Ovis aries: one gene and its partner. The protein of the gene in region 2 binds, or shares a complex with, the protein of the main gene of each other region. Links are inferred from orthologs where the notes say so. Each region holds a gene or a part of one and is shown on either strand. Other genes may lie near its edges.

What was found.
Region 1: the proteins of IL22RA2 (region 2) and IL22 are in contact, whole or in part, in a crystal structure (PDB 3G9V), measured with the Homo sapiens proteins. The link is inferred for Ovis aries from reciprocal best matches to the Homo sapiens genes IL22RA2 and IL22. Residues at the interface, in NP_443194.1 of Homo sapiens: Lys65, Ile66, Tyr99, Gly100, Gln101, Arg102, Trp104, Gln128, Glu129, Pro130, Tyr132, Met148, Pro150, Arg151, Thr153, Trp155, Trp156, Glu157, Glu200, Pro246, Met247, Leu248, Asp249, Arg250; in NP_065386.1 of Homo sapiens: Phe47, Gln48, Pro50, Thr53, Asn54, Phe57, Met58, Lys61, Ser64, Leu65, Asp67, Asn69, Thr70, Asp71, Val72, Arg73, Leu74, Lys162, Gly165, Glu166, Asp168, Leu169, Met172, Arg175, Asn176.

Annotation. Positions count from the first base shown.
Region 1 is NC_056056.1:151,693,859-151,698,287, reverse strand, and holds the start of IL22 (interleukin-22 precursor), read right to left. Parts: upstream 2,903-4,429; 5' UTR 2,893-2,902; coding exon 2,707-2,892; intron 1,754-2,706; coding exon 1,688-1,753; intron 1,580-1,687; coding exon 1,433-1,579; coding exon of another isoform or gene 1,256-1,432; exon of another isoform or gene 510-1,255; coding exon 444-509; exon of another isoform or gene 424-443; intron 1-423. UniProt on the Homo sapiens protein: Cytokine that plays a critical role in modulating tissue responses during inflammation. Plays an essential role in the regeneration of epithelial cells to maintain barrier function after injury and for the prevention of further tissue damage.
Region 2 is NC_056061.1:62,365,838-62,370,403, forward strand, and holds the start of IL22RA2 (interleukin-22 receptor subunit alpha-2), read right to left. Parts: upstream 2,971-4,566; 5' UTR 2,928-2,970; coding exon 2,867-2,927; intron 1-2,866. UniProt on the Homo sapiens protein: Isoform 2 is a receptor for IL22. Binds to IL22, prevents interaction with the functional IL-22R complex and blocks the activity of IL22 (in vitro). May play an important role as an IL22 antagonist in the regulation of inflammatory responses.

The DNA of each region.
Region 1 (4,429 bases), on a different chromosome or scaffold from region 2:
ATGTGAATGACTTCAAAATTATTTCAAATAAGTTTTACCCAGTTTTCTGGTTTTGAACAAATGCTTCTTCAGACTAAATGAATCAGTAGGTATCTTAAATTTCCCTAAGAACTGACGAGACTAACTATAATATCCAGCACTTCTGGCCTGGATGGGATTCAGAGGTCCTGCAGTCTATTCTGACTCTGACACTGGCCATCCCTAGCACATGGGTGACAATATTAGATGACTTAAGTTCCCAGCCAGTTCTAGAATTTGCAAAATTTGAAAACCGACTTATAAACATGTAGACACATCTATGTATGTGCACCTAAATAATCAACCCAGTGGCAGGAGAGGCAAGTAAAAAATCATGACATGGGAGAAAAAGGGAAAGAAAAGGAAGAAAAACAATATTTGCCTCTTCTATCAAATGATTTAGCGCTAAGAGTTGTTACTAGTACCTTTTTCACTGTGTTCTTCAGATTCTGTACGTTTCTCTGGATGTGCTGGTTGTCATTCTCAATATGCTGCAAAATGGAAGTGAGAGCAACAAGTTTAACATTGTTGTGCTGAAGCTTTTTGAGACTCAGCCTTCCTAACTGAAGCATGTTACACTTCATCTGGAATTAAAGTTCTTAGCAATTTTGCCCACAACGACCTAGATATCAATAGTGACCTAGATTCTCTGACCTCCTCAATCCCTGGGACACCAAAATCCAGTCATTTCCCTTACACGGAACCTCACTTCACCTTTGGGAAACCCTACTGAGGTTGAAGTTTGTGGAAAGAGCAGAGTGGTTTATGCAAATCCTGTCAAGAATAAAACCATAACGGCACCTCATCAAAAACACGGGCTCAGAACAAGAAACCTACATAAAATATCTCATGCGAACAGGGCCCTCCTCAATAAATACTAGGCCCCCTTTGCTCAGCCTACTCCACCAAAATATTTTTCTTAGTTTTCAATATTCAGAGGCATCAAGCTCACGCACCTCTGATTTTTGTCACTTCCAGTATCAAAAGGGCAGCAGTCTTCATCCACCCACCCACTGCCAAATATCAAATCTTCTTGTTTCTCCCTTTCTCTCTTTCCCATCCCCTCCCTCCATCAACTTATATTCAGTGAATCCATTTGCACCATTTGTATTTTTCCTTAAAGCTCCCAACACCTTTCTCATCTCACATAGTCCGAATTGCTTTTTCCCAGGGACAAATGAGTCTCCTGTGGTCTTTCAGACCCTGCCCATCACAATCAACTCAAAATGTGACTCAATTAAAGCAAAAGCAAACAGGTTGTGCTGCCAAATGACTTCAGTAATGGTGTGACGGAGGCACCTCTTACTACCAGCTTGGAAGGGGCACTGGGGTGGGAAGGAAGAGGGTTCCGCACAGAAGAAAGACGAAAGGCAGGCACCTGGGAGGATCGGACTTTGGCTGGAGAAGAACTTACGCATTGGCTTAGCTTTTTGCTGAGCTTGGAGAAGAAGGGCACCACCTTCTTCATATGGGGGTGGAATTCATCGGATCGGGGGAACAGCACCTCTTCAAGAATAAAGTTCAGCACCTGCTTCAGCACATAGCAGCGCTTCGTCACCTGCTGGTGAAAGTGAAAGAGCAGGGCTCAAGTTAGGCGACATCCACAAGACCCGGCCCATCCTCACCACCGCTCCAAGTCACCACAAGTGGCATCATGCCTCTGGCTTACATTGATTCCCTGGAACAATTTGTTTCCAATGAGACGAACATCTGTGATGTTATCTGCCAAACTAGCCTGCAAGAGAAGAAAAGACTAAGTGCCTGGACATCATAAAGCTAGAAGAAATGTCTGTAAGGAGAGCTGTACTCTGTCCCCTCTTCCCAGAGCAGCACTGTGAGGACTAAAGAAAGGGCTCTTTAGTTCATGGGTTTAAAATGATGCTCAGGGGTTGAGGGGAGGGGTAAATTAGAAGTTTGGGGTTAACATATATACACCATAATGTATTAAATAGATAACTAACAAGAAGTTACCATATAGTACAAGGAACCATACTCAATATTTTATAACAACCAATAAGGGGAATGAATATATAAAAGAATATACATATATTTTATATATACACATATATAGGTATACTTATACATATATATAGACTCGAATCAGTATGCTGTACACTGGAAACTAACATGACCCTGTAAACCAACTAAACTTCAAAATAAATTTAAAAAATAAGATAAAAAAGTATAATGTACAGCATAGGTAATATAGCCAATATGTTATAATAACTATAAATGGAGAATAATCTCTAAAAATTGTGGATCACTATGCTGTATACCTGGAACTTAAATAATACTGTCAATGAACTATACTTCAGTTAAAAAAAAAAAAGAATGGATTTAAAGCTCCTAGAATAGAGCTCATAACATAGTAAGTGCTCGAAAATGTGAATTTCTTGCTCTTCAGAAAATAAAAGAATGCTTAGAGGAGTAAAGGGAACCATAAACAGTCAGATGGGTTACTACATGGCTCCTTTGGGGGCAAAACTGAATGTGCATCTCCTAAAGGGCAAAATGACAGGTCTTGAGGTAAAGCTTGAGCTCCAAAAAGTCTTAAAAGAGACATAAAGTGATGACAGGTATACCAGTAGAGATTAATGTTCGTCTGGAGAAATGTCCTCTGGAGAAATTTTAAGAACTATTCAGGTTCCAAGTAGATAAGATGCATAAGAGAAGGACTGAGATGAGTACCTCCTGAGCCAGAGTGAAGGTGTGGTTGAAGATGTAGGGCTCCTGGAAGTCGGACTTGTTGAGCCTACAGTGCGACGTGATGGGTGCAGCCGCTCCTCCCTGGGCGCACAGCACCATGACAAGGAGGCAGCCAGCGGCCAGAGCGGCCCCGAGGGGAGAGCTCACGTACTTCTGCAGGGCAGCCATCGTGGACAAAGCAAACCTGAGCAGTGGGTGACTAGGGAAGAAGAACCTGGTATCAAGAGAACAAGAAACAAAATCAACATTAAGGGGAAAAATTAAGTATCCAGGAGTAATAGACCCAGCAAGCCAATCCTACCAAGTTCGTTGGAGGACTTACCTGTTTCGAGGCTTCTGCTTGTGATAGGAAAGTAGAAGCTGCTGCTTTTATAGCCCCCAGGACACCAAATTGTGTGTGTGAAAAGTATGACATCAGCAATTATCTAATTTCCAGTGCTGTCTTCTGAGAACTACCTAACCACCATAGGGGACCACAGAGCACCACCTCCAAGCCTTCCCACCTTGATACGCCAGCATTTCCCTAAAACGTCACTATTAGGCCCGGTGCGTGCTTTTACAGACAAATCCCAGAAAGTTTCTAAACCCTACATACTTTTCAAAGAAAATGACTGCTTTGTCTTTGTAGATTCCAGGTTTAGTTTAAAATTTTCTGATCTCTTGTAGTGAGTAAACATTTTGGTCACGGACTCATTTTCCTAGCAGCTTCATAGATTCTTATCTCTTTAGAGGTGATCAAAAAAAAAAAAGGACCTATATCCTTTACTTTAAAATAAGCAGTAATGGCAGCTTGGAGACAATTCTATTTTTTAAAATGTTATGTCCTTTTTAAAAAAATATGATGAATGCTGAAGAAGACTTAAATTTTAAAATAGCAGTATTGGCTAACATAACTTTCCTCCCATTCTATGGCATTTTTTAAGTGACCAAACAATTACAATAGATGCAAATATATCTTAAATTTTTCATTAAATCATAATCAATATTGATTTAAACTTGAAAATATTAATGCTGAACAATCTGATCTGTATTTTTCTTAACATGCAAGTATTTTGAGAATACAGTCAAGTAGTTCATTTTACCTGCACTCATTCTAAACAACACACAAGTCCCCCCCTCAAAACATTTCCAAAAACCTTATAACACTTTTTATTAGATACATGAAAGTCTAAAGAAGAGAATCTGGCAATTTAATGATTACAGGTGGTTTTTATTAAAATACATTGAACTCTAAATAATACCTAAACCTGAAACCTTCCCAAGGAGGTGGGATCAGGGGACAAGGGCACTGATCTATTGCTAAGGGAAGGAATGTAAATTCGTGCAGATTAGTTTGATCAGATTTTTCTTTTTGCAACAAGCTTGGATCAGGCGCATCAAAGAAGGCATGTGAATAATTGTAGAAATCTGAGCATTTTGTGAGATTGCATGGGCCTTCGGCAAGGGGCCACAGTGAAGAGTTAAGACAGCATGAGAACACTGAGCATTTGGGAAGGTAATTAAAAGGGAAGGTTAGGGGAGGACACAAAAACCATACCCACTGCACAAGTTTACTCGAGCTGATTCATGAATGCCAGATGAGAAAACTCTTCTTTTCCAATTTCCTATTATATATGATATAACCACTTTTGTCCAAAATGCTATATAATTATATCAGCATTCGAGTTAAGAGTTAAGCTCTTAACTCTATGCATAGTTAAGCTCT
Region 2 (4,566 bases):
TTGCCACCTTTGGAAGCCTAGAACTGCTCTCCTTTGTCCTGTCATATTTGCACAGGTATATCATTCCTTGTTGAAGATGCTACAGAAGCTGGGACTTTCAGACGCCATTTTGAGTTCATCTTTGTTTAAGTTCCTCACTAGTGACGTGCTGTGTATGCACTCATAAACAGTTTTTCTTTTATTAATCTTTTTGCTAGAGTCCTAGTTGACTTTTTTACTGAATAAATTTGTCATGTAACGTGTAAGCGAAAAAAAAAAGAAAGAAGAGAGTACCAGATGAAAACGTAAAAGAGGCAGAATTAAAGCTTTGCCTTCCCGACAGGCCCAGCGTTTCTGCTGAAGGATAGGAGATAGGCAGAAGCAGGAGTCAGGAAGCATGTCTCCCCCGCCTGTCTCTTCCTCATCTTCTATCACTTGCCCCCTGGCTTCTCCAGAGTGTCCTCCTTTCTCCTGCTCTACCATGCTGGGCGTGGCCCCATCTGAGGTCTCTGTATTGGCCCTTTCCTTTTCCTTGAATACTCTTCTCTGGATTTCCACAAGCCTCATTTCTTCACCCCCTTCAAGTCTTTGCTCAAATATCATTCAAAGGGAAGTGAATATTTTGATGCCTATGATCTCCGCTCTGAACTTTCGAAATTTGTTATTCTCGGGGCTTCCCCGGTGGTCCAGTGGTTAAGAATCCCCCAGCCAATGCAGGGGACACAGGTTTGATCCCTGGCCTGGGAAGATGCCACGTGTTGTGAGGCAACTAAGCCCGTGCACAATTACTGAGCCCACATACCCTAGAGCCCACGCCCCACAACAAGAGAAGCCATCACAATGAGAAGGCCATGTACTACAGCTAGACAGCAGCCCCTGCTCACTGCAGCTAGAGAAAGCCTGCAAGCAGTGAGGAAGACCCAGCACAGCCAAACATAAGTAAATAAATAAGACATGTGTTATTCTCTAATGAGTAAGGCTGCTTCCTTAGGTATTTATTTTTACCAACCTAATAGTGTCAATGCTGTTATTTGGTTTTTGTTTATTTTTTACTTTTTTGGACTTCCTTTCATCCAAAGTACAAGAACATATCTCTTGGAAAGAGTCAAATGCCATGATTGGTTTTGCTCACACAAGTCACTATTGGATCAATCATATTTAGCACATAAAAACTTTGAAAGTTTTCAGGAGTTGATAGGAAGTGATAGGCACAGTTTCTTAAAGACCCTGCCTACAGTTGATCTGCTATCCTGAAAACAAATGGTCCAGTGTCCTTTATCTCATCTGTCTTCAGGCTTCTCTCATTTTTGTAACACTGTTGGTAAGCACCATCAAAGAAAATAACAAGCCCTCTGTGCAAAACACCGCAGGTCTTTTACCTGCAAGAACTCATTGAATTTGCCCAGCTCACCTATGAAAAGGATAATATTATGGCCTTTCTCTTGCAGACCAAAATCCAAGCCTTGGGGAGGTAAAAGAGCTGGCAAAGTGGCAGACAGTGAAGCTGATTTTATACCAATGCTGTCTGGCTCCAGAGCCTGCCTCTCAGCGGCTACAGCAAAACAAGAGCAAAGCCTGGGGGGACAGGAGCCAATGGAGGAGGCAGAACAGTGAGGAGTCAAAGATAGTCCTCCCTTTTGCCCTCTTCCTCCTCTTCCTGGCTGGCATTAAGAAAACACATTTTGAACATTAACCATCTATCAGGCACTGTGCTCAGAGCTTCATCTCTTTTTTCATTCTTACAACCACCCAATAAGGTAGAGTACTTTTATTAGCACGTTTTACAGATGGGAAAACTGAGGTCTAAAGAAGTTGTGTGATTTGCCTAGGGTCGGTAAGATGCAGCACCTAAGTCATTTTGGTGACACTTAATTCCTGTCATATTCTTTTAATTGAATCCTTGGTATGACCAAAGACCAAAGGCATAGTCTACCCAAATCCACACATTTCTGGGAAATGGAGGCTTGAGTTGTGTTTAAATGATCAGTCACTGGGCAACTGTAGAATGCTGGGAAAGCTACTTGAGCCACTGACACTGAAAGGTACACATCTGTTAACTGGGGCCCCCCATGGTTTTGCTCAGAGGTAAGCTGGGGTGACAAGATGCTCTCTGTTCTTGAAGACTTCTCCATGAATGCCAATAGCAAATTCTCACATGTTGTTTATGATCTATTCTATGCTAGGCACGGTGCTAAGCACTTGGCATATATTATTAACTCATTTAATCCTCACAGTGACCTGCAATCCCCATTCTACAGATGGAGTAATCAAGGCAGAGGCGGTTTAAGCCAATCAGCCCAGTTTTTCTAGATAATAAAGAGATAGAGTTGAAATCCAGGTTCAGGCAGTCTGGGCTAGGAACTCTGCTTGTCCCTTGAAGTTGAAAGAAATGCTAAGGAGACAGAGAAGGGTGTGTATTTGTCCTGTGTGGAGTTTTTTGAACCCACTAGAGTGCCTCCTCTTTAGTAGCTACTCATGAAGTCTGCATGTATTTATCCAGGCTATAGAGGGAAACTGGGCTTCCCAGGTGGCAGGCAAAGAACCTGCCTGCGAACGCAGGAGACTCAAGAGACATGGGCTTGCTCCCTGGGTCAGGAAGATGCCCTGGAGGAGGGCATGGCAACCCACTCCAATATTCTTGCCTGGAGAATCCCCATGGACAGAGGAGCCTGGGGGGCTACAGTCCATAGGATCACAAAGAGTCAAACACAACTGGAGCGACTTAGCTCACTGAGAAACGGACCCCATGTCTGTTCTGACCAATTTGTGACAGGAGAGAGCTGAAATCTTTACAAAGCCCAGAAGGGCGAGACTGCCATGTCCAATAGTGCCCTGGAGCAGGCTCTGATGACAACACTGAGAAATTAGGAAGAAAGGAAGCACTTACCTACCACACCAGGCAGGAGGACACTGAGGAGGAAGCCTAGAAAGCAACACTTCAGCGTCATGGTTGCGAGTGTGACTGGTCGGGTGGCCAGCGTTCACCTCAATGAGACGACAGCGCTGGACAAGAGAGGGAACCAGAATCCTCTCGCTCAAAGATCCCCTTTTGGTTTTAACCATGCTTCTTGAAGTAAATACAATTTCATCCTGTTCGTGTATTATCATTTGAGAGGAATAAGTATTAAGAATCATTTCAAAAATATTGTCAGTTAAGTCACTTTAATGTTGGGTTGGTGGGCCGGGGGCAGGCAGGGTGAAGAATTATGCAAGATTCTTGCAGGTGAGTGGAGGAGGCCTAAACGGCATCTGGCAGAGGGGGCAGAGGGGCTGCCAGTGACTCTGAGTAACGGGCTTGGCAGTTGCAGTGATCAGGGCCCCTGGCAGTGGTTCAAGCAGGTGGGGTCTCTGGCTAGTTTTTCCTTTTCCTCCCTTCATGGGAGCTCCTCGAGTAACCTCCTGGGTGTAGACCTCATACCCTCTGTCCGCCTGGCCTCTCTGCAGGACTCCCTCCCACCTCTGCGGCCATCCCAGTCCGTAGCGCCCTGGGCCCCACGCAGCTCATGCTTCTTCCTTTTCCATCTGCACTCTCCATTTCCAGCAACCTAGCTGATCAAGATTTTGAGCCCAACAAACCAAGTAAACCCTTAAAAGGAGGAAGACCAAGGACAATCATTTTGAACTACGTTAAATCTTCGTCATATCTTCTTGGAAATCTAATCAAACTAGGTCATCTGTTCTTTGCCCATGATTCGCTATATCAGTTTTCTTACCAAACTTTTTTTTTTTTTTTACTGCATGTTTTTAGCAACACTAAGATTATACATTAAAGCACAAGAAACTCAAAGATTTTTTTTTCTAAAGAGGCTTTTGGGGTAAAAGAAGAAATACATGCTGGTTTCTTTTTCCTCTTGGGAAGTTGAACTTTCAAGCTCTTGGTAGCATAACCCCTTCAGTCGGGAATAGTGATGGCTGCTGAGCAGTATCCATTAATTAATAATTATTTAAGTAATAAGTAAGTAAATACTTGACTCAATAACATAGTTTCTGCCCTACCATGAGATAGGCATTGTTCTCAGCATCAAGGATGAAGAAGCAAATAATATAGACATTGTCCCTACTCACCCGAAGATGAGTTTTAATGGGGGAAGTAGGCACATTCCCTAAGCAGGATGGGGGGCTTTGTGGAAACAATGCTGGGTTTTCCAGCACTTTCTGGCAGGGTCAGACTTTTGAATCCAAACTCCTTACCTCCTCCAGGTGAAGTTTCCACTGCTTCTAAGATGACTTAGGCTTTCAAAGAAGAAACAGCAGCCTATCTCAGGTGCCCTTTGTATGAATACTTTCTGAGGGATCTTTGTCCCTTAGCATTTTCAGCATCATCCTTCATTTCCTTGCTCATGATTCACCACTGAACGCTAGACTTTTTACTCACCTTGGTTTCAAGTGGGGAATAGTCATTTAGGTTTGAACCACTGATGTTCAATATCTTTAATGCCAATAACTCATGTATTAGAGGAACCAAATTGCTCCAACTTCCAGTTAAGAAAAAAAAAGAAATGAATTCAAGGTTTAATAAGTAGAGAAGCAGAGAGGGAAATTGGGGTTTCCAATGTAGTGACTTTTTGTAGGAACAAATAAGGGGAA